Linked DNA regions of Sus scrofa. The protein of the gene in region 1 interacts with the protein of each later gene in a pairwise test. Links are inferred from orthologs where the notes say so. Each region holds a gene or a part of one and is shown in the gene's direction. Other genes may lie near its edges.

Region 1 (7,499 bases):
TCTGACAGGTGACAAATCTTATTCACCATTTGGGTATTGCTCTGTGGTTCCCCCTCAGATCTTTTGCCCATTTCCCTATTGTATCATTTGTTTTGTTTTAAAATGTTTGTTGACGGCACCCATGGCATGCAGAAGTTTCCAGGCCTCGGATCAAGCCTGCACCACAGCAGGGACCTGAGCTGCTGCAGTGACAACACCAGACCCTCAACCCACTGCACCACAGGGAAATCCCTGCACTCTATAAAGGTACCTTGAGGAGTTCCCGTCGTGGTGCAGTGGTTCATGAATCCGACTGGGAACCATGAGGTTGTGGGTTTGGTCCCTGCCCTTGCTCAGTGGGTTAACGATCTGGCATTGCCGTGAGCTGTGGTGTAGGTTGCAGACGCGGCTCAGATCCCGCATTGCTGTGGCTCTGGTGTAGGCCGGTGGCTACAGCTCTGATTCGACCCCTAGCCTGGGAACCTCCATATGCCACAGGAGCGGCCCAAGAAACAGCAAAAAGACAAAAAAATAAATAAATAAATAAATAATAAAAAATAAAGGTACCTTGAGGGAACTTTAGATGAGCAGTTTCTCTATAATAGAGCTAAATTCACCAACTTTTTGAAATCTTTCCCTACCCTGAAACCATGGAAATCTCACATTACCTCAATTTCTGTATTTATCACCTGTCATTTCTCTCTTCACTAGACTGTAAAGCTGAGAAAAATTCTGTAAGCAAGTAGTTCCTCAAAGATGCCAGCACTGCATCTGATCCTTACGACCTCATCTCCAGGTGGGAAAACTGAGTCTCGGAAAGGCCAGGACTCTCAGTGTTCATGAGTTTTTACACTACGTTCTGAAGACCACTCTGGCTGCTTCCTAGAGGTAAATCCACACAGGTTTCTCAGCCTCTCTGAGCCTCTAGTTTCCCTGCCAGTGAAAGAGAAATAACTGTTTGTTATTTTAAAAGGAAAAAAATCTGCAGGAGTTCCTGTTGTGGCTCAGTAGGTTAAGGATCCAACACTACAAGCTGCAGTGTAGGTCACAGATGTGGCTTGGAACCAATGTTGCAGTGGCTGTGGTGTAGGCTGGCTATAGCTTTGATTCGACTCCTGGCCTGGGAACTTTCATATGCCACAAGCGTGGCGTTAAAAAAAAAAAAAAAAATCTGCAAAGATCTTAGCTGTAGACCCCGTTCACCTTAAACAATCAACAACTAACAGGTCAGAGTTCCCACTGTGACTCAGCGGTAACAAACCCAACTGGTAGCCATGAGGCTGTGGGTTCAGTCCCTGGCTTCACTCAGTGGGTTAAGGATCCTGCGTTACCATGAGCTGTTGTGTAGACTGGCAGCTGTAGCTCGGATTCAACTACTAGCCTGGGAATGTCCATATGCCATGGGTGTGGCCCTAAAAGACAGAAACAAAAAAACACAGAACAGGACAAATATGCACCAAATAGAAGCCTAACTCACATTACCTGAATTTCTGTATTTATCACCTGTCACTTCTCTCTTCACTAGACTGTAAAGCTGAGAAAAATTCACCCACCCACACCCCCGCTGCTCCCGCCTAAGCCTAAGAGAACAGGGCAGATTGCAAAAACCCTGTCCACTCCTACCGGAGGCCAGGAGAGCACATGACGATTATCAGGTAAACCCTCGCCCACATCTGGTCCACCCTTTTCCTGGCAGCGCTGACTCCAACTGTCTTCCACCAGGTGCTGCCTAGCCCAGCTGACCACGCTGACATCTGGAACACCCCAGCCCACCTGGACCCCAGGAAGGGATCAACCCACACCCTCTCCCACATCACTAAGGGATTGAGACACTCCGAGGCACCTGGCCCAAGGCCCACGTGGCCAGGATGGCTGCCCTCTGGAGCCAGAAGCTGCCGGTTTCGACGTGCACTGATAAGGAGTGTGGCAAACCTGGCCGGGCCCTGGGGAACAGGGAGCTCCCAGCCCACCTGCTTTCCATGGACAGAGCCCAGGCATGAAGGCCACTGACTTTATTGATTTAGAAAACTTTACAAGGACAGGAACTGTTCTGCCAAAAAGAGGGCCAAACATGGCATAAAACAGATCAGAAGTGAGGGTAGGGGTAAGGGCCAGGACCAGGAATTCACTCAGAAAAGCTGGTAATTGCTGACATGAAACTGGCAAGGAAAGGAGAAGGGAGATGCATGCAAGTGTGAGAATTCCAAAAAAGGTGACATGGTGAGGGGAGAGAACTCCCAAAAGATGCTGGAGTACGTTGGAAGTGCACACAACAGCAATCTTTTCCTTTGTAGAGGATGGGGGAGGAGTCCTGGCTTGGCTGCAAACTCTGGAGACTCAATGCTGGGGCTTGGGGTCGGGGGCTCCCCGGAGGGCATCACAAGAAGGCATCACACCACTCCCGGAGGCACCCGAAGCAGTCCCGCGACTGCTTGGCATTGGCGCCACACGTGTCCTTCAGCCATTCCCGGAAGAGGTCTTCATCTTTCTTGAGCACCAGAAACTGGCCAAGGACCACATAGGCCTGCAAGACAGGCAGAGGGAAGGGCATGCTGCTAGGTGCTCTGCGGACCAGGAACGAGGCCCTCAGCCTAGGAAGCAGGGCCGGCTCTGGCTAGCCCTGCAGAATACATGCCACTGCCCACCCCCAACGGGTCCACTCACTCTCCTCCCGCCCCAACTGCCAGGAAAGAGCCCAGCAGGCCATCCTCAGCCCTCCCCAGCTGCACGCAGCCACCCCACACCTTGTCAAAGCCCCTTTCCTCCAGCTTCTTGCCCAGTACGTCACCAATCCCGGCCAGGCTTCCCACTGGCTTTTCCCCCATGGGCTCTGCCACGAAATCTCGGTGCTTTTGGGAAGTTGTCATCTTGATCAAGCTTAACCTGAGAATCCCAAGAAAAGGCAGGTTAGGGCTGAAAACCCGGGAACTCCTGAGGGCCCACTACCAATCTCACAGTTAAGAGGACGCTCGACCAGTCATCGCAGAAGCTTACTCGCTTCTCCCCCCACTTCACGGACGAAAAAAGCGAAGCCTAAGGAGTCTTTTCCTCACTATTCAAAAGAGAAATCTCTTCCACTCCTTGCAGGAGCTGGTTTCGGTACCACCCCAGAGGCAACACTATCTTGCTCTAACAGGTGGCGCACGCAGAGCAGAGTCAAGATTCCAAGAGTCTGTCAGGACCCAGGGCTCGCCCTGAAATTGTCACTCCTCGGTGACCTTGGCTGGGCCCAAGTGGCACTGACCCTGCCTGCAACGGCTACCTGGCCCGTAAAGCAAATGAAGGACTCTGTCCCACCCGGCCCGCCAGCTAATCACAAAGCAGAAGCGAAGCGGCTTCTCCAGCCCGGCGGGCTGCACGCCAGGGCTCCCGCCGCGCCCCACGCCGCCGGCCCCGCCCCCAGCGCGCCGCGCCCCGCCCCCTCCCCGCGCCTCTGCGCTCGCGCGCCGCGCCCCGGCCGATCCCTCTCCGAGGGCGCATCCTCTGGCCCGCCGCAGTGCTTGAGGCGCCTTTCCCCTTCTCTTCCCCGCGCCTCCGCCAGTCTCCAGCTTGGGCCCTGCACCGCGGCTCGCACTCACCCGCAGCTCCGGTTCCCGTAACGGCCTCTCCCGCCACCCGGCCGCTCCTGCGGATGCCTCGACCCGCTAGAACTTTCGCCCCACTTCCGCTTCCGGGTCGCCTCAAGAGCCGCCTTAAAAAAAAACCCAAAATTACATTGGGCACCTCTAGCCGCGTGAAGTCATAGAGTTGAGATTGGGCCGGGGTTGAGGGGGCGGCGCGCCAGCGTGCGTTTAGGAGGCGCTCCTTTCCGGTTGCTTTGCGGGAAGCCGGGCAGCTTTCTGTGGTCTCACTGCTCGGGAAATATTTCCGGTCTGAGGGAGCAGAGGCCTGGGAGGAGAAAACTTTATTTCTCGGCGGCGCGACATTTGGAACTTAAGGATTAAACGTGGCCTACTTGGTGGTGGGAAGAATTAGAGGAGCGGACAAGGAGGGAGGTGTGGCTGGGAGGCTTCCGAGAGAGCGCCGGAAGTAAGGGGTTTCCTCGGGCCGGCGCGTGCTGTCTTCCTCGCCGTCCGGCTTGTAAGAGACTTGAGTCCAAGGGGTCTTCACCGGCGCGACCGCCGGCAAGTCCATTTTCTGTGCGCTCGTTGACTCAGCTACAAAGCGAGTCGTTGACGAGACGTGTTCAGCGTCCAGCCTGGAGAACGGGGTCGTTCCGCTTCAGGCATCGCCCGTGGGATCCGAGGGCCAGAGAGTAAGTTTGGGTTTCTCTCACTGAGCGTCTTTCCTTCGGGGTAGGAAGGGAGGAGGGCAGGCAGGGGACGGCAACTAGAGATGACACTTCGGCGTTTCCTTTGGAAACCGGCCGTCTTCTGTGTGCGCATCAGTCCTCGTCTTCTCAGTACCCAAATCATAAACAGCAGATGCCAAAGACCATGTCGGCCGGCCCTGACCTTAGTTAACTTGTTCCTAACTTGAATTCTTCTCCCTGGTCCATGTCTGTGGTATGTTGAGAGATTGAGCATCTGTTTGTGTGGCTGTGCTACGCTTGGGATGTACAGGCATACCGAAGAAGAGTTTATGTGATTCTTTCTCCCCCTGGTTGCCAGAATGACTTGTTTTCCTGAAACCCGTGTTTAGTTTTTACCGTTGTATTTTTAAATTTGTTTATTTGTTTTGGCCGTGCCTGCAGCACATGGAAGTTCCCGGCTCAGAGATTGATTCTGTGCCACAGCAGCAACCTGAGCCCCTGCAGTGAGAATGCCAGATCCTTAACCTGCTATGCCACAGGAGAACTCTTGTCACACGAGTTGTTTTTACGTGCTTTACAGTGCTAAGTGCTTTGCTTATGCTCATTCTTAGAGCAGTGCTCTAAGTTAGCTATTGTTTTTCTCTGAAGTCTAGAGAAATTGAACAGTCATGAAATACCCAAGGTGGGATTTGAATGCAAGTAGTTCTCCTTAACCTGACACTGTGTCCTCCCCAGTAAAAGGTCCCTCCCCATCTTTAGAATAGTCCTTCTGAGACTGCCATCCAAGAAACTCAGGGAGAGGAGCTGACAGTCTCTGCATCCCTCACCCCCACCCTGGGACAGGACCCAACAACATGTCTCAGGCCACCAAGAGGAAGCACGTGGTGAAGGAGGTGCTGGGGGAGCACATGGTGCCCTCCGACCGGCAGCAGATCGTCAGGGTGAGTGGCACTGGGGTGGGGACAGGGTGACTGTAGCTCAGCAAGGGTTGCAGCTGGCTGATAATGCTGACTGGTACTTGGTCTCTTCTGGACCAGGTGCTCAGGACCCCAGGGAACAATCTGCATGAGGTGGAGACAGCCCAGGGGCAGCACTTCCTGGTGAGCATGCCCTCCAAATACCGCAAGAACATCTGGATCAAGAGAGGTGAGAGAGGCAGCCCTTTAGGAGACCAATTCTGATAGCCTTGGCTTCCCTCTCTGCCAGCAGGGCTGACTTCCCTTTTCCTTTTCTCTGTCTGTAGGGGACTTTCTCATTGTTGACCCTATTGAAGAGGGAGAGAAAGTGAAGGCCGAGATCTCCTTTGTGCTCTGCAGAAATCATGTGCGCGCTCTACAGAAGGAAGGGCTCTGGTAGGGTGAGCCCCTTGGTCACTGGCTGCATGGCTTCTGAGGGACCGACTTCCTAGCACTGGAATTGGGGGGAGGGGAGGTCCCAGTGTCCCAGGCTGGATCAGCTGGAAATAGCTTTTTTGCCCAGAGGTTTCTCTGTCCTTTCTGACCTTGGCTCTTCTCTTGGCACAGGCCACAGGCCTTCTCCGAAGTGGCTGAGAAACACGATGATAACAGTAACAGGTGAGGCACAAGTCTCAGAGCAGGAAGCCAGAAAATGGGGCTTCTGGCTGTGGTGCCCTGAGGGAAAATAGAGCCTTCCTCCCTTCCTATGCAGGGGCCGTGGCAAGCGCTTTTACATATGTGGTTATGCACATGGCTGGAAAGTCATGTCTTCTTCAAATCCTGGCTTTGTCAGTTCTGAGTAACTTTAAGCAGGTTAATCTCTTAAGCCTGATGTCATTGCCTGTAAAAATGGGAGCTTTGTAAGAATTACAGAGGCTGTTGGTTCTAAAAGTGCTTAGTATACTATCTGGTAAGCAACGTGGGTTCATTGAGTGTTAGTTGGAGTTGATATTATTAAAATTAGTAGCTCTAGGAGTTTCTTGGTGGTACAGGAGGTTAAGGATCCAGCGTTGTCACTCTAACGGCTTATGTTCCATTCCTGGCCCAGGAACGTCCAAATGCTGCAGATGCAGCCAAAGAATATGTGTATGTATGTATATTAGTAGCTCTAGAAACCTTTATTTAGGCTTGGGGGTGGAGAGGTAGTTATTAGCCTGTTTCGCTCTGATTCGCTCCCTGTTTGACTCATCAAGCCACATGGTCCTCCTTTTTGTGGCGCTCCTTGATAGAAGGTCTGGTTTTCCTAGAAGGCATTGGGCTAACTCTGTCCATTTCCCTCACGCAGACAGACTCAGCCAGAACTCCCAGCTGAGCCACGGTTGTCAGAAGACAAGTCCAGCTCTGAAGATGATTCTGACCTTTTTGTTAACACCAACCGCAGACAGTATCATGAGAGTGAGGAGGAGAGCGAAGAGGAGGAGGCAGCCTGAGACCCCGGACCCACTTCTCCTCTGGCTGAGACTCGCCCTTGGATCCTCTGAGCTTGGACATTCCCAGGGTGCTTTGCAGATCTTTCCCCCTGGATGGGGACAAGGCAGGGCCCCTCTCTGAACTGACCTTCTGACATGGGAGAATTAAACCCCTGGTGGGTGGTGACTTAAGCTGGTGTCAGAGTGGCTCTCTGGAGGGAGGAGGGACATGTGGGTAAAAACGGCCCCTTTGGGAGTTCTCTGATGGCCTAGCTGGTTAAGAATCGGACCTCACTTCTGTGGCCCAAATCACGGCTGTTGGGCGACTTTGATCCCTGGCCTGGGAACTTCAGCTTGTTGCGGGCAAAGCCGAAAAAACCCAAACTGCTCTTTGGTGGTAACCTCATGGGCAGGAATGGCTGGAATCTTTCCTAGGTTTCCTCCGCTCACTGGGCTCTTAGTAAGTGCCAGGCCTGCATGTGCTTAAGAACTGGGAGTGTCCCCTTCCCCCATTGCCTGCTTGCAGTTAATGGCAGTGTAGGCATTCAGGATCACAGTGGGACTTGGTGCCCACCTGCCTCCAAGAGACACTCAGGGAGAGTTTCACAGTGCCTCGCAAGCTGCTTTCCCCGGCTTTCTAGTCACATGATGCAGGAGTGCCCACTTCCCTGCTGCTGTGTACGTCTCCTGGTTGGTGGTTTCTTTGGCTACTCCAACCATCACTGCTCAGTCCCCTTGCAAACCACATCATCCCATTTCTCCTTGGAAGGTTTTTCCCTCTGACTGTACATTCTCTCTCCTCTTCGCTGGCATTGACCTTTTAGTCACTGCTCAGACATAGAGGTTTACCTCCTGGCTTGGAGTCTTCTACCCCTGCCTCTGATACTGTTTTCTGCATCCCAT
Region 2 (7,603 bases), on another chromosome or scaffold:
TTTTTAAAAATTAAAAAAAAAAAAAAAAAAAAAAAAGACAGAAAAGAATGGGTAGGGTTTCCGGCACCTTAGGCAATCAGAAAACGTGTCCCATCTTCCCTCTAAAATTAAGAGGCACTCAGCCCGCCTCTGCCTTCCCGTTCAGAACTACTAATCTGGGCCTGCAGGATAGGGAAGGCGCAGGGCAGGCGCTAGCGGTCCCGGGCAAGCGTGCGGACCCCGCCCCCGTGAAGGCTTCGGGGAGGGACCTGCACGCGGGGCAGGCAGCCAGCGGGAAAACCCCGGGCCTGCGCCTGCGTACTGCTCCCTCTTGGTCTCTCCTACTTTCGCTTTTCGGTTTCCTCTCAATCCAATGCCTTCTCGCTCCCGGGCTGTTTCTCCGAAAACACGTGGGGCGGCTCTTCCGAGCATCCACGTCCCTCCCGCCGCGCGCCGGCCCAGCTGTTCGGAAACTTGACAACCTGACGATCTCCATCTGCTGGAGGGTAGCCCATCCTGGGCAGACACGGGCTGCTGTTCTGAAAACAAAGGACTTCAAAAGGTGTTCGTGAAGGTGTTTGGATGTCGAAAGTCATGCTCCTAGCAGACATTTTTGGGAGGAAAAGAAAAAAAAAAAAACAAGAAAAAAGAAAATCATAAAAAGTAACCCAACACCCCAAAACATGTTAGGGACATTCTGTAGAGGATCCAGACTAGCAGGCAAAGTTTGTGTTTATCATAAATGCAATGAGAATTGCCAAGACTTGCGCAGGCAAGGACTGTATAAGTATAGTGCTTTAGAGAATTTAATCTGGCAAATACAGAGAAGGGGAAAGAAACAGGGAAAAGGTAGTGTGACCGTTGTCTGTTGCAGCATTCCAGTTCTGAAGTAATGAAGGCCTACAGTGGGGTATTGTCACTGATGGGAAAGCTAAGAAGGATAAAAGCATAGGGAAGGAAGACTCCATAGAACTAGAGGACATCCAGAATGTGGCGATCCAAAGAGAAACATTCTTTTTGCAGATGTTAAGATTATTTAATTCCCCTGTTGGTACTGAAGGTAGTTTCTGTGCACAAAAACAAAAACAAAACCACAGAAGCAATGTGTTTAATATGTTATCTACTCTTCCTAGAGTCAGCTTTTCTCAAACATTGTTTGAGCCCCTAGTGCAGGTAAGTAGAACTGGAAGGGCTTTATTTATTTTTTTTTTTTGGTGGCCTAGCATCCATTTTCACAGAAGGCTGCTACTTAAATACCAATGGTCATTGCTATCACCAGTTCAGCACTGCCTTTGTGTGGGTGAATATGTGACAAGAAGAAGGAGCATATAGATGTGAAAAGGGAAAAAAACACTGTAAGAGGAACACATATAAGCCCACCTCTCGGAAATTATTTAGATCCTTTTCCTACCCAAAGTTGCTTTATTTTTCTAGGTTGATTCAAGCCTCATCTTCTTGGAGAAATCAATTGTTTTTATGGGCCACACATTCTAAGAAGACCTAATCTAGGCTGGCCTCAGGGATTCCTACCTGGGGAAGTGACTTTTAAGCTTAGGTTTTAGCTAAGACATAAAAGATGAGTAGCTAGCAAAAAAGTTGGGGGAGGGGGATATTGGCTTAAGGGGCTTTCCAAATGGAGAACTGCTGGTGAGAAGGTTCTGAGTTTGGGGAAAGAGCTTGTCTTATTTGAAGAACAAAACTGCTGAGATAAGGGAAGAGTGGCACAAGACGGGGTTAAAGAAAGTGACAGGGGACCAGGGCTTTGTAGGCTACGTTAAGAAATTTGGATTTTATAAGAAAAGCCATCAGAGGATTTTCAGGTTGGCAACATGCGATGTGCTTTGCAAAAAACACACACACAAAAAAACCAACCCACCGGAGCTGCTGTAGGGAGAACTAATTAAAAGGGAGTTAAGAACTGGAGTGAGGCAGCCATTTGAGGGCTGAAACGAATCCAAGTCTACTGAAAGAATCCAAACTGGGGTGGGGGAAACAGCATAGGAAATAGCAAGAAGTGATGAGACATTTAGGTGGAAGAATCAAGGAGGCTTGAGGGCCGGTGTGAGGGCTGAGAAGGCAGTGTCAAAGGTAGTTCCTAGTTATCTGGCATACACCATTTCTAGAAAAAGGGCAGGTTTGAGGAGGAAGATGATGAGTTGGTTCTGAACATAACTAGGTTGCAGAGCTTACCAGACATCTAAGTGGAGAGTCAAGTGCAGGCTGTACGCGTAGATGTGGAGCTCTGAAGGAGAGGTGTGGACAAGGTACACACGCAGAAGTTGTCCATATCTAAGAAGGACATGGAAGCTGTGAATGAGGTCATCACAGGAGAGCGTGAGAAGTGTAGGTAAAGTAAACCAAGATCTGGACCCTGACAACACTTAAGTTTGAACAGTTTGGTGGTGGAGATGGAGCAGAGATGGAGAAAGCATACTAGAGAGAGAGAGGAAGAAACAAAGACGTGTCGTCATCGTGGCCAAGGACGAAGTGTTAAAGAATGGAGGGGTCAACTGTGCCTAAGTTTCCTGAGTGGTCAGGTGAAGACAGAAAAGTGTCCCCTGGGTTTAGCAACATGTCAGCTGCTAAACTGACCTTCTACAATGACAAAATCTACACCTGTGTCGTCTGTCTTAGGTTCTTAGGATTGGGGCTAATATAACGATCTTAAAGTTTGGGCAGAGGCAAACACTGAACTTCCTGTTCTCTAAAATATGTGTAAATATAACCCGCAATTTACATCACGGAGCGAAGCTTCCCGTTCTCTACCAGAGAGCCCCGCCCAAAGGCTACGGACCGACCCTTCGGGTTGGCTGAACAGCGGCACCCCTGGGGGGGGGGGTGGCGCGAGCGCGGAACAGCCGCATCTGATTGGTCGAGAGAGGTAGCCTCTGGGTGATTGGCGGGAGCGGAAGGAGGTGGGGCGTCTGGCGCTGCCTTTTCTCCCAGCAGGTACTTTCGTTTTCCAGCGTTGGGTTTGCGGAGAGACCCAGCCACACCAAGAAGGACGCTTGTCAGACCCTCAGATGGGACAGAGGTGACTCGGCGCTCCCGGGAGAGGTTGCACGGCCGCTCCCCGTCCCGTCCCTGCGGGATCCAGAGTACAGAGTGAGTGGGCGTGTGAGGTTCCTGGTGTCGGGGCGGGAAGTGACTGGACTGGCGTCGTCTAGGACCTGGAGCCGGACGCCGGGCGAGGGCGGATTTTTAAGTGCTGACAGATTTAATCCGAAATCAGGGAAAGAACACATAATCTCAGGTGCTCGTTCTCGGTGATAGTAAGGTTGCCCCAGCCAGTCGTTCTCTGGCAGTAGAAAATGTCTTGTAAGATAGAATCCCCCCCGCCCCCGGAAACACTGCATTTTCCCATTTACTCTCGTTTTCCCCTCCTTCCTGCCCCTTTCCACCACAGTCACGTTTTCTTCTTTCTGCAGAAAGTTTTTGTTTGCGTGTGCCACCCCCAGAGAGCTAAGACGCTCGCACCCTGTGCATGCAAAACAGTCTTGGCTTCTGACGTGCTGTGTGTAGCCGCTGCTTGTGTGAATCATCAGCCCTTTGCTTGGGCACAAGGTGAAGGTTAGTAAATGTTCATGGAAACTAATAAATGAGTACATGGCTTCGGGACTTAATTATATATCTACGTTTAAAGGTAAAAGAGCTTAATTTGCTCTTGGAATGTAAAAGTGATAGTTCTGCAGACCTCCGAATAATAATTAGTCTTTAAAAAAATTCTAACTAATATCAAAGAGCTTGGGGGAAGAAAAATAAGTGTATGATTGCGCTTTGAATGTCGTTTTTATAAGTTGGATAGGTTGTTTTTATGGTTCAGGAATAAGACATGAGCTACCAGCATACTCCAGTTTGCAGTTTGGTGCAGGACTCAGATTTGTTGAATCATAATATGATTTTCCCTTTACTTTCTAATTCAATCTGAAATGTGTTGAATTTCAATTCAACAAACTGTCGAATACATACTATGTGCAGGACACTCTCCAAAGTGGAGATGACTTTTTTTTTAAAGACATAATTCCAGAAACCCAGGGTAGACATCACAGAGCTTTTTAAGGGAGAGAGTGACTGATGCTCTAATGGAGGTACAAAATGCAGTGAGGCGTAAAGTCAATGAAAGCTTAATTGTTTCTAGGTAAGTGTCAAATAGCTTATGGAAGAAGGGCATTTGTACCTACTTTTGGATGCTGGTAGAATTTAGAAAAGCAGAAATTTGTGAGGAAGCTCCTTTAAAGGGTGAGTGACAACTGGAGCAAAGCAGAAATGTTGAGCATAGCCAAAAAAAAACAAAAAACAAAAAACAGTAACAAAAAAGTAGGTAATTTGGTCACTGGGTTGCTTTATTAAAGGATGAAAATAGGGTGAGGGTGGAAATCAGCCTGGTAATGGGGCAAACTAGCAATTTGGAGCAAGAGAGGGATGTGGCCAAAACCCATGTCAGCAGAAGACTAGCTGGGGAAATAGTGTTGGAGGCAGGGAGGAAGGAGACCTTGGGACTGGAGAGGAGGAAGTCAGGTGATTGGAGGATAGTCTTGCTACTCCCTATGTTGGTAACAAGTTTAGTGGGAAGATAGGGTGGATTTGGGATTTGTTAGCATGAATTTATTGATTGCTGGCCTTGTGCCAGGTGCTGTGTCTGTATTACCTCATTCAGTCTTAACAGCCAACCTGGTGATAGGGATGGGAGTCACCTGTGGTCACTCACCCAAAAAGGTGTTGTAGCTCCTGCTGGTTGACATTCTGGCCAGTATATTTGCGTTAGGCATATCCGTATTAGACACCTAGTAGGGAAGGAAAGTGCTGCAGATTTAGAGTCTTCTGCTCAGGTGAAATAAATTTGAAGTGAAAAATCAAATTGCTGCAGCAAGTGTACCAAAGGAGTGGACTTGGGTCCATTTTTGCTGGTATTTTGTGATGGTAACTAGCTTTGCAGTCCTACCACATCCTTTCCTTTCTTTGGAAGGAAATTTGTGGCATAGACATGGCTTCATGTCTTCATGCCCGCACCTGTGTGCTTGCTGCAGCATGCACACACGCTTTCATGCCCTGCTGTAATTTTAAAAATCCAGACCCCTTCCCCAGAGGCCTGGTAGGACACGATTCACTTATACTCGTTCTGAATATTGTCAGCTGTGTGCTTATGTAAATCCTAATTTATGCTCTGGTGAAGGGAGGTTCTTCGTTTTCCTTGTGAATATTAGGACTTCTTAAAATCAGGTTTTTGTTTTAATTTTTTTATCTTCAAAACTGCCATGTAGGAGTTCCCATCGTGGCTCAGCAGAAATGAATCTGAGTAGCATCCATGAGGATGCAAGTTCGATCCCTGGCCTCACTCAGTGGGCTAAGGATCTGGCGTTGCCATGAGCTGTGGTGTAGGTTGTAGATGTGGCTCAGATCTGTCCTGACTGTGGCTGTGGTGGTAGGCCAGTGGCTACAGCTTCCTGCGATTGAGTCCGCACGGGGTTGACCAGGTGTCCCGGCTGACTCGGTCACTGGGATTGAGTCTGCACGGGGTCAACCAGTTGACGTACACCATAGCTCATGGCAATGCCAGATCTTTAACCCACTGAGTGAGGCCAAGGATCAAACTCACATTCTCACAGATGCTGTGTGGGGTTCTTAAACCCCTGAGCCACAATGGGAGTTCCCTATGAGAGCAATTTTTAAAGAGGTGTTACTTGTCCTAAAGCAAATCTAATTAGTATTTCTCATTTGTTTATTCGATAAAAGTGCAGATTCATTTTAAAGGCAGGTGAACGCCTACTATGTCTAGCACTGTTCTGAAGATACAGCAGTGAACAAAGCCATCCCTCCCTACCCCCCTCCACCACCAAACCTGCCTTCGTGTGGGGAGAACAGACAGTAATCAAAATAGAAAAGAGAATACATGCTAGGTCAGATAGTGGTAAGGGCAGTGGAGAAAAATACGTCAGGAAGGAGGGATACTGTTTTCCAGGGTGAGAGGTGGTGTCGATTTAAGGAAAGTGGTCAGAGAAGGCTTCCCTGATATGTTGGCTTTTGAGCAAAATCTGAGAATGTGTTTTTTGGAGAAGAAAAAAATACCGACCCCAAACTCAATTAAAAAACAGGCTTTGGAATATAAACACCATTTTAAAAGTATGTTTCAGGAGTTCCTATCGTGGCACAGTGGAAATGAATCCGACGAGGAACCGTGAGGTTGCAAGTTTGATCCTTGGCCTCACTCAGTGGGTTAAGGATCTGGCATTGCCATGAGCTCTGGTGTAGGTCGCAGATGCGGCTCGGATCGTGCATTGCTGTGGCTGTGGTGTAGGCTGGTGGCTACAGCTCTGATTTGACCCCTAGCCTGGGAACCTCCATATATCACGGGTGAAGCCCCAAAAAGACAAAAAAAAAAAAAGTATATTTCAGAAACAAATTATGTTTTGAACTAAGCGAGATATTTATTTTTATTTTATTTTATTTTATTTATTTATTTATTTTTTTTGTCTTTTTTTTTGTTGTTGTTGTTGCTATTTCTTGGGCTGCTTCCACGGCATATGGAGGTTCCCAGGCTAGGGGTTGAATCGGAGCTGTAGCCACCGGCCTACGCCAGAGCCACAGCAACTCGGGATCCGAGCCGCGTCTGCAACCTACACCACAGCTCACAGCAACGCCGGATCGTTAACCCACTGAGCAAGGGCAGGGATCGAACCCGCAACCTCATGGTACCTAGTCGGATTCGTTAACCACTGCGCCACGACGGAAACTCCTAAGCGAGATATTTAGAAGCAGCACAATGCTGGACGGCTTTCTTTGGCGCTGTGGGCTTCCTTTCGTGATCTTTGTTCTGTTTCCCTATAGGATGTCCCAGTGGTATGAGCTTCAGCAGCTTGACTCCAAATTCCTGGAGCAGGTTCATCAGCTCTACGATGACAGTTTTCCCATGGAAATCAGACAATATCTGGCACAGTGGCTAGAAAATCAGGACTGGTAAGGAAATCACTTGACAGAAGAAGTTGTTTTTCTACACTTTGAAAATGACTTGTGGATTGAGTAACTTGGAGCCATGTTGATTGGAAGATGAATCTCACCGGTAGCTACTGGGAACATCTGTTGCAGAAAAGTGTGTTGGCTTGAGAAATGGCACCGGTCTCTATAAAGCTAAATGCATTAGTTGTTAATTTTATGTATTTGTTGATTTAGTTATAAATCCTCCTAAATACTTTGGACAAGTTAGATAATGCTAATACTAATTATTTTGAAAGAAAAAAGAAAGAAATTAGTGGAAATAATTAAAGCCAAGTTATGGGAAAACACTGATTAGAAGTATGAAGAAGGTAATACAGTTAAAGAAATATCTCTTAAAACCGATATGGTTTTGTTTTGAATTGAATTGTATTGTTCATTCATTGCAAATGTTTCAAATGTTCTGAAAGTGTTCGATATAGAAAGCGAAAGCCCCTGTTGGTTTTTCACTCCAGAGATAATCAGCGTTAACAGTCTTGGTGCTAGAATTTTTCATGGTAATTGAATATAATGGAAATATTGTACAAACTCTTGCCAAAAGCATTGGCAGTTTCAAAGAAAGAAATAAAACCCAAGAAAATACCTTATTTTTTAATAATTTCAGAACAGAAAGCAATGTCTGCTTTTGTGTGTT
Region 3 (7,626 bases), on another chromosome or scaffold:
ATATCAACACTTACATTTTAGATTAAGTTCTAAGTCATTGTAGTAATTCATGTGAAACATTTAAGAGAATGAGACACATTCATGATTATTAGTTACAACTTTAACTTGAAATGCTTAAGGAAATGTAACTAAATTGAAAGTATGCTTTCAAAACACCTGACTTACATTTACATGAGTATTAGACGCCTAAGAGTTAAGACCTTGAAAAGATTTTACTTTTAGGTTTGTAAGCTCACGCTTTAGAAGTGTGATGTATCTGAGAGAAAGAACAACCATATAAAACTTTGAATTCAGGTTAGAACATCTGAGGGAGTTTATTTATTTATTTTTTTTGTCTTTTGAGGGCCACACCCGCGGCATATGGAGCTTCCCAGGCTAGGGGTCCAATTGGGAGCTGTTGCCTCCGGCCCACGCCAGAGACACAGCAACTCCAGATCTGAGCCGAGTCTTCGACCTACACCACAGTTCACGGCCACGCCAGATCCTTAACCCACTGAGTGAGGCCAGGGATCTAACCCGAAAACCTCATGATTGCTGGCTGGATTTGTTTCCGCTGTGCCATGACGGGAACTCCAGAATTTAATTTTTAAAAAGAGTTCACTGGGGGTATTCAATTTGTTAAACTGGTGCCTTAATTGAAAATTTGTCAAAAATCAAATATATTTTTACATAAGCATTTTTAGATCTGTAAAAATAAAATTGTCAACAAAGATTAAAAGGCTTTTAAAAGCTAAGCACTTAAGATACTCAATTTTTTTTTCTTTTAAAATGGCTGCACTCATGGCATATGGAAGCTCCCAGGCTAGGGAATGAATCTGAGCCACAGCTGTGATCTATGCCACATATGCAGCAACTAGGGATTCTTCAACCCACTGCATCTGGCCTCTGAAGCAACCAGAGCGGCTGCAGTCGGAGTCTTAATCCACTGCACCAGAGTAGGAACTCCTGGATACTCAATTGCAATGAGCTGAGCATTTTAATGAGTTGAACATTATTCTAAATAAAAGCACAGTATTCTACAAACAAAACCACCCCTCTTAAAAAACCTCAACAGATGCTAACCCCAAAATAACAACTTCGTTCTGTACCTCAGGTTATACTCAGGAGTATTTTTTTGTTGTTACATACCCTCTTAATATTTTCAAACTGATTATTGGTAAAAATGTAGAAAAACTAACTGAATTTTGCATGCTGACTTTGTAATTAGTCTCTTCAATGAACTCTTACTTAATGGATTTCCCTTGCACTTTTCAAAATAGGCTGTCGAGTAACATTCACAGAAGAAAAATTTTGTCTCCTACTTTCCGAAAAAATACGTTTTATTTTTGTTTCATGTCTTGTTGCATTGGCTAGAACTGCCAGAATGTTAGACAATATATTCTTTGCCATGTTCCTGACTGTAATGGGAATGTCTCTAGGTCCAATGTGATGTTGATTTAAGATCTGTGTATTTTATGAAGTCATTAACGTACCCTTCGATTCCTCAAAAATTAAGTTAGGAAGGTGTGTTGAATTTTAGTGTTCCCTCTTGGAAACTTAAATACGCTTTAAATCATAGATTTGTATTTAAAACAACACAAAATAGTTACCAGTAAATGACACTTCCTGAAACTAGCTGATGGTACTTCAGCGAAACTGAATTCCAAAGAGAAACCAGGCTTCGGACAAGTCAGTTCGCTAAAAACTTCCCGTTTACACCCAGTCTCTGTATAACACGACACCTATGAGAGATGCCCGTGGACCTGCCACTCTTTCATGCAGGCGGTGACTCAAGAAAAGTCCCGGGTAAGTTAACACTTGACTTAGACTCCCTGGGTTCTCAAACTGAGATTGGAACCTTTTTAAAATGTTTTACATTCTATCTGCGATGGTGATATTTAGGCAGACGCTGTGCTAAACTGCTTGTTATTCAAGATTCCCCATTCAATGGTTTAGTTTGAACATACTGAAACTACGCTTAGCGTCTGCCTTCCTGTTGTCAAAACAGCCTGTTTCCAACTTCCCTAAAAGTGTCAAACCACAACAAAGCTTACGTGAGAGCCCAGTTCCCACAAAGACACGTACCTTTGTCCCCGGCGCGACGCAGGCTACGGCCCCGCGGGCCGCACTCGTTCCCCCGTGGCCGTCCTCATGCCGGCCCGGGAGCCCGGGCTGCCGCGCTGCTAGCGGCCGGCCACCGAGCCATGCCTCCCGGCGGTCGGCCGGCCCGCGCCACGGCCCATGGCCCGGTCCCCGCGCGCCCGGGGGGCCTCGCCGGCCGTGCCGACGCGCCGGCCCAGGAGGAAGCAGAGAGACGCCGGCTCCACGTCGGCCGGGCAACTTGGGACTTCGGGACGGGCAGCACTGCGCCCCAGGAGAACGTGCGACGCGGACGCAGGATCGGAGCCTCTCCCTGGACGCCGGCCGTTAGAAAGAGCGCTCCAAAGGACCTGTCCACCCTCCGAAGGACCTGTCCGCCCTCCGGGCGCGGCCGCGAAGAGCCCGTCGGGCGCGAGGCCCCGGGCGCGGGCGGAGGCTGGCTTCCAGGCCGCGCCGAAGTCCGTCAGGGCAGCTGCCGGCTCGGAGACGCGGGCGGCCCCGGGCCCGCGCAGGACTAACGGCCGTAACGGAAGCGCCGAGGGGGAGGGGCTGAAGGCCAGGGCCCTGGGGCGGAGCGGGCCGCAGGACCTGCTCCCTAGCTCGGGGACTCGCTCGCTCCGCCGGCCGCACCGTCGCCGCCGCCTCAGACCGCTGCGCTACGTTGTCACGAGCCGGAGGGAGGGGGAAGAAGCCGGGAGTCTCCGGGCTCCGGCGCGCGGAGACCGCGGCGCCCGGGTCACGTGCCGCTAGGCCGGCCTATGAGCCTGGGCGGGCGCGGTGACGTCAGAGCAGCGGCGTGTCCGGTTACGGTCAGCCCCCGTCACGTGACCGGGCTCACTCCAATGGGCGGCACCGGGACGACCTGATGTTCCCGGCTGCCCGTGCGCCGGCGGTGGTTGGGTGGTAAGATGGCGACTGTGAGTCTGCGGCTCGGCGATTTGGTGTGGTGAGTCCAGGCGGCCCGGGCCGAGTGATGTGCGCTGGGGAGTTGCCTCCCTGTGCGTGGGGTTCGCAGCCCGCCCCGGGGCTGCCTTTCTCTTCGCTTCAGGTGGCGGAGAGTGGGCGAGGCGGGGTGCGGGCGCTGGGAGCGACGCCGGGCGGAAGGGGCAGCCTGGCCCGGGGGGACTGAGGCCGAGGGTGGCCGCGGCGGACCCGGCTTTGAGCTGTGGAGAGGGCTGCGCACAGGACCCGGACTCCAGCGGCCACCGTTTGGGGAGTGCCCAGCGCCGCGCGGCTCCCGCGGACGCCCGGTCCTCGCCTCGGGGTCTGGTTGGGGCTCCCGGGAAAGCGGGAGAGCCGGGGAGCCTGCGGAGCCATCGCGTCCCAGCCTGCCCGTCGAAACCCGCCTTGCGATGGCACCGACCGGTGCGGGCGGCTCAGCCGGGAGTGTCGAAACCGGGCTGCTGGCACTGTCCTGTGAAGAAACGGAGTGGGGACTTCTCCTTTACAACTGGAGGTTTGGCAGGGACCAGTTTCTCCTTGGGTGCTTCCCCTGGTCTGCTTCTGTGTCCCAGACAACCGCCCGAACCAAGACTTACTGTCGCCGCCTCCCTCCAGCTGAGCTGCGTAGCTCATTTCTCAGTCTAGAGGAAGGATTTCCATTAGCATTTGTCAAAGCCGGGTTGGGGGATGAAACCAGACTTTGTAAGGGGAAGTCTGTGTTTACACAGCAGACCGTCCCGCCACCCTCGTCACGTCCCGGGGAGGTTCTGGACAAACGACTCTTGGTAGTTTTGTTTTTCTGTATCCCTTGTCACCGGAAGAATGCACACAAGTTTACAGTTTTGCATTGCATTTCTGAGGGGTTTGGGCCTCTTGGGCCCAGCTGTGGATGCCACAATAAGAACTTCTGGTTCCCAGCTTTTTCTATTCTGGCACTTGAGCGTCGAAGGGGAGATTTAGGAAAATAAATTGCATGTTGAGTGGGTTGAAGGAGACGGACTGGCCTTTCCAGGGCAAATGCTGACTCTTTGTGTTTTCTCTAGGGGGAAACTCGGCCGGTATCCTCCTTGGCCGGGAAAGGTGAGTGACTGGCGGACATCTGAAGTTGAGTTTGAGGAGGTGGAGAGTATAAGATGCAGTCCCTTGAATTCCTAACATTGAGTTTAACTGGGCCTATTTAAATAACATTGGAGAATTTTTTTTTCCTCCACTGTCAGTTTTTTTAGAAAAGGCAGTGTAATTTAAACCACGTCATTAAATCTACAGTATGTTATTGTTTCTTGAATCAGAGGTGGTTTGTGGAAAAGTCTTTTCATCCTGAAAATCCTTTCTAACTTGAATTTAGCTTTGCACATAAATCTAATAAATGGAGAAGAAAACAAATTTTCCAGTAAGAAAAATCTAAATGTAGGCTAGTGAAAAGTCAAAGTATTTTTGTCCCACTGAGTTTAAATCTTCTTTGCATTTTACCATATGTGCTGCTCCAGTGCATTGCAGAAGCTGGCATTCCACGTTTTGCACGAAGTGATCCTTCATAGCTTTCCAACCGATCTGTTTTTATATTCTTGTTTGGAGCCTAGGAAATGTCTTCAGACTCTTTGCAGTATGGCATTTTCAGTGTCTCGGTGTTGTCACTGTTACTTCATTGTCACTGTTGACCTGTCTGAACTCTTCCTGCACAGAGGTATTTTTAAGAGTGTTTTCTGCGTTTCTTCCATAATGACAGGGTCACATTACAGGAGGTAATGATGTTGGTCTGCTTTTAAAACAGGGCCGTTTTAGTAAAAGGGATATTGTATCTACTGAACACTGTGTTACATGACAGACACAGGGAACTTCTAGAATATTTGCACATTTCCACGTCTCAGTAGAAGAGTGCCAGATTTGGACATAAAATAGGCCCTGTGTTTGGTTTTGTTTTTTTAAGATGTATTTCTTTTGTGTTTTGTTTTTTCTTTCCCTTACCAACTTATAACTGTGGGGAAAAAAATTTGTTTTTCCCCCTTTTATTCCCTAGATTGTTAACCCACCCAAGGACTTAAAGAAACCACGTGGAAAGAAATGCTTCTTTGTAAAGTTTTTTGGAACAGAAGATCAGTGAGTAGTGCTCACCAAGAATTTCGCTTTCCCTTTGCTGTTTGGGCTTTGCCCCAGGTTGAAGCTGGTTGATTCTCGGGATCCTTGTTTAGTCTCATTGTAGTCCACAGAATGGCCATCATTCTGGCTTCATACCTAAATAAAAGGTGCTGTTCTTATCCCCGAGAAATTCTCTTGAGCAGCTATCCTGAGGCCGGTAACAATGGCAGTCAGGTGGGAAGTAGGGTTTGCCACCTTTTAAATATGATAATCTCATTGAGATCATTTCTCACGCTTGTTTTACCCGAACTCGGAACTCCACAGACAGTTCCATTATGAGGGTGTTTGGTTCTTTTTTAATGGCTGATTATCATTGTGGTTTAGGCATAAGGTAATGAATTATAATTATAAAAGTAATTGTTTGGTCTTGTTTTCGTGAAACTAGATGACTTGATTTAGCATTCTAACAGTAAAGCTTTTTAATCAGATTTGTCTCATATTTGAAATCAGAAGTATTGATTTGAGATTCTTTGATAGGCCATATAAGAAATCACTGTGGGGGTTCCCGGTTGTGGCTCAGTGGAAAATCTGACTAGCATCCATGAGGATGCAGGTTCCATCCCTGGCCTTGCTCATTGCGTTAAGGATCCGGCATTGCTGTGAGCTGTGGTGTAGGTCGAAGACAGTGGCTGGGATCCGGTGTGGCAGTGATGTGGGCCAGCAGCTACAGCTCCGATTTGACCCCTAGCCCGGGAACCTCTATATGCCGTGGGGACGGCCCTAAAAAGACAAAAAGAAAAAAAGAAAGAAATCACTGTGAAGGGAAGAAAATGTAATTGAGTTTCCAGTGATTTGTTTAGCTCTCATCTTAATTCCGTCAAGCTGATTACCTAGATGGTTTGATTTCTTTAAGTAGTTAGTTTTCTATTTATGGGTTTTTTTTTCTTCTTTTTAGGGCCATACCATGGTGCATGGAAGTTCCCAGGCTAGAGGTTCAGTAGGAGATACAGCTGCTGGCCACAGCTACAGCAGCGTGGGATCTGAACCTTGTCTGTGACCTACACCACAACTCACGGCAACACTGGATCCTTCACCCACTGAGTGAGGGCAGGGAAGCATCCTCATGGATCCTAGTCTGATTCATTTCTTCTGCTCCACAAGGGAACTCCTGTTTCTGTTTATGATTTTTATAGGAAAATGTTGTTTTGGGTTTGAAAAATATCTGTGGCTTTTCTGATAAATCCAACACTGATGGTTAAAATACACATTCTAGAAAGCGATATATAACATTCTGTGGGAAAATCTCTTACGGTCTTCTTTGCTGGCAAGTTTATGCATCAGAGGGCTCATCCTATTTAGAGTTTGCATGGCATGTCCCTTCAGCATGTACGTACACCAACATACGCAGCCCCAGTTCTTGTCACAAACCAATTTAGCTGCATTTTGGTGGCAATATTTCAAGGGAGTCGCTGGCCTGGAGCTGGGAGAGCCAGAAACAGTCTAGAAGAGAGAAGGTTCTGGCAATGCTATGGATTTCACAGGAAGATTGCCTGGATGCATAAAACAAATACTAATTTTGCAACCACACTGCGCATTGCTCGGCATAGAAGGGAGCTTCCAGAAAAGCAAATGTCATGGTCCTCATCTTCTAGGAACTCAAGGGGCAAGACATAAACCTTCCAGCTGGGATTGAGTGCAGAATGAGTGATGCATGGAATAAAGGCTTCTAGAATGAGAGATGAGTGGAGAACAGCTAGGTCAGAGAAGGCCGATGGAAGAGATGGGATTTGCATCAGACTAGAGGATGGATAGAGTTTGGATAGGCAGGAGTAGTAAGGGCTTTCCAGGCAGTGGGGCCACTGTGAGCTGCTGGCAGTTCAGTTGCGTGTGTGGACAGAGCGCCTTCCTGCCTGAGGTAAAGAACTTGTGCTTGGGGTGAACAGAGGCGACATAGTCAGCCTGGCTTGGGGGGCCAAAGTCTGAAACACAAAGGAGAACCCACAGAAAGCAGGCAGTTAGGTTACAGGAGGCTGGAAAGCCGTGATGTCTTCATGATAATTTTTTAAATGCTGGAAGGCTAGAGGGATAAGCCTTAGTCCCGGTGTATGTATGAGAAATACTGCGTGTGAGTAGGACCCAGAGTTGGATCTGAGTGAATCTCAGCACTCAGGCACTCAACCAGGCAAACCGGTGGAGCTGGTGAAAAGGATGTACCCACTGAACACACGAAACATGCGGTGGTGGTGGTGGTGATGTGATTTCTAACTGAAGTTCTTCGAGGAGATCTGTGAGCAAGTGGATACACGGCAACTTCTAGGCAATATCTTTAGCCTTTAAATCTCCTTGATAGAGTTCCATATTTAAAAAAAAAAAAACATTTAAAAATGAAGTCACCATAGGACTGACGTGTGAACTTTTTGTTGCTAAGCAGTTGCCTTAGTGAGAGGAAACAGAGGATAAGGATGTGCAGCACTTCTCCAAAGGGAGAAGGGTTCTTAGAGATCGGTGTTCAGACTTTATTTAGAATCT

The links.
Region 2: the proteins of EIF1AD (region 1) and STAT1 interact in binary tests that used the Homo sapiens proteins (3 or more experiments, as listed by UniProt). The two-hybrid records come from large-scale screens. The link is inferred for Sus scrofa from reciprocal best matches to the Homo sapiens genes EIF1AD and STAT1.
Region 3: the proteins of EIF1AD (region 1) and GLYR1 interact in binary tests that used the Homo sapiens proteins (3 or more experiments, as listed by UniProt). The two-hybrid records come from large-scale screens. The link is inferred for Sus scrofa from reciprocal best matches to the Homo sapiens genes EIF1AD and GLYR1.

What each region holds. Positions count from the first base shown.
Region 1 is NC_010444.4:6,331,475-6,338,973, forward strand, and holds the start of EIF1AD (probable RNA-binding protein EIF1AD), read left to right. Parts: upstream 1-3,407; 5' UTR 3,408-4,234; intron 4,235-4,966; exon of another isoform or gene 4,967-4,990; 5' UTR 4,991-5,085; coding exon 5,086-5,172; intron 5,173-5,268; coding exon 5,269-5,377; intron 5,378-5,474; coding exon 5,475-5,583; intron 5,584-5,754; coding exon 5,755-5,805; intron 5,806-6,472; coding exon 6,473-6,617; 3' UTR 6,618-7,499. Other genes in the region: BANF1 (barrier-to-autointegration factor), read right to left, coding at 2,357-2,503, 2,724-2,846.
Region 2 is NC_010457.5:95,641,594-95,649,196, reverse strand, and holds the start of STAT1 (signal transducer and activator of transcription 1), read left to right. Parts: upstream 1-2,877; 5' UTR 2,878-3,084; intron 3,085-3,407; 5' UTR 3,408-3,549; intron 3,550-6,784; exon of another isoform or gene 6,785-6,804; 5' UTR 6,805-6,805; coding exon 6,806-6,933; intron 6,934-7,603. UniProt on the Homo sapiens protein: Signal transducer and transcription activator that mediates cellular responses to interferons (IFNs), cytokine KITLG/SCF and other cytokines and other growth factors.
Region 3 is NC_010445.4:37,552,457-37,560,082, forward strand, and holds the start of GLYR1 (putative oxidoreductase GLYR1), read left to right. Parts: upstream 1-2,900; 5' UTR 2,901-2,987; coding exon 2,988-3,025; intron 3,026-4,064; coding exon 4,065-4,101; intron 4,102-5,038; coding exon 5,039-5,118; intron 5,119-7,626. UniProt on the Homo sapiens protein: Cytokine-like nuclear factor with chromatin gene reader activity involved in chromatin modification and regulation of gene expression. Acts as a nucleosome-destabilizing factor that is recruited to genes during transcriptional activation.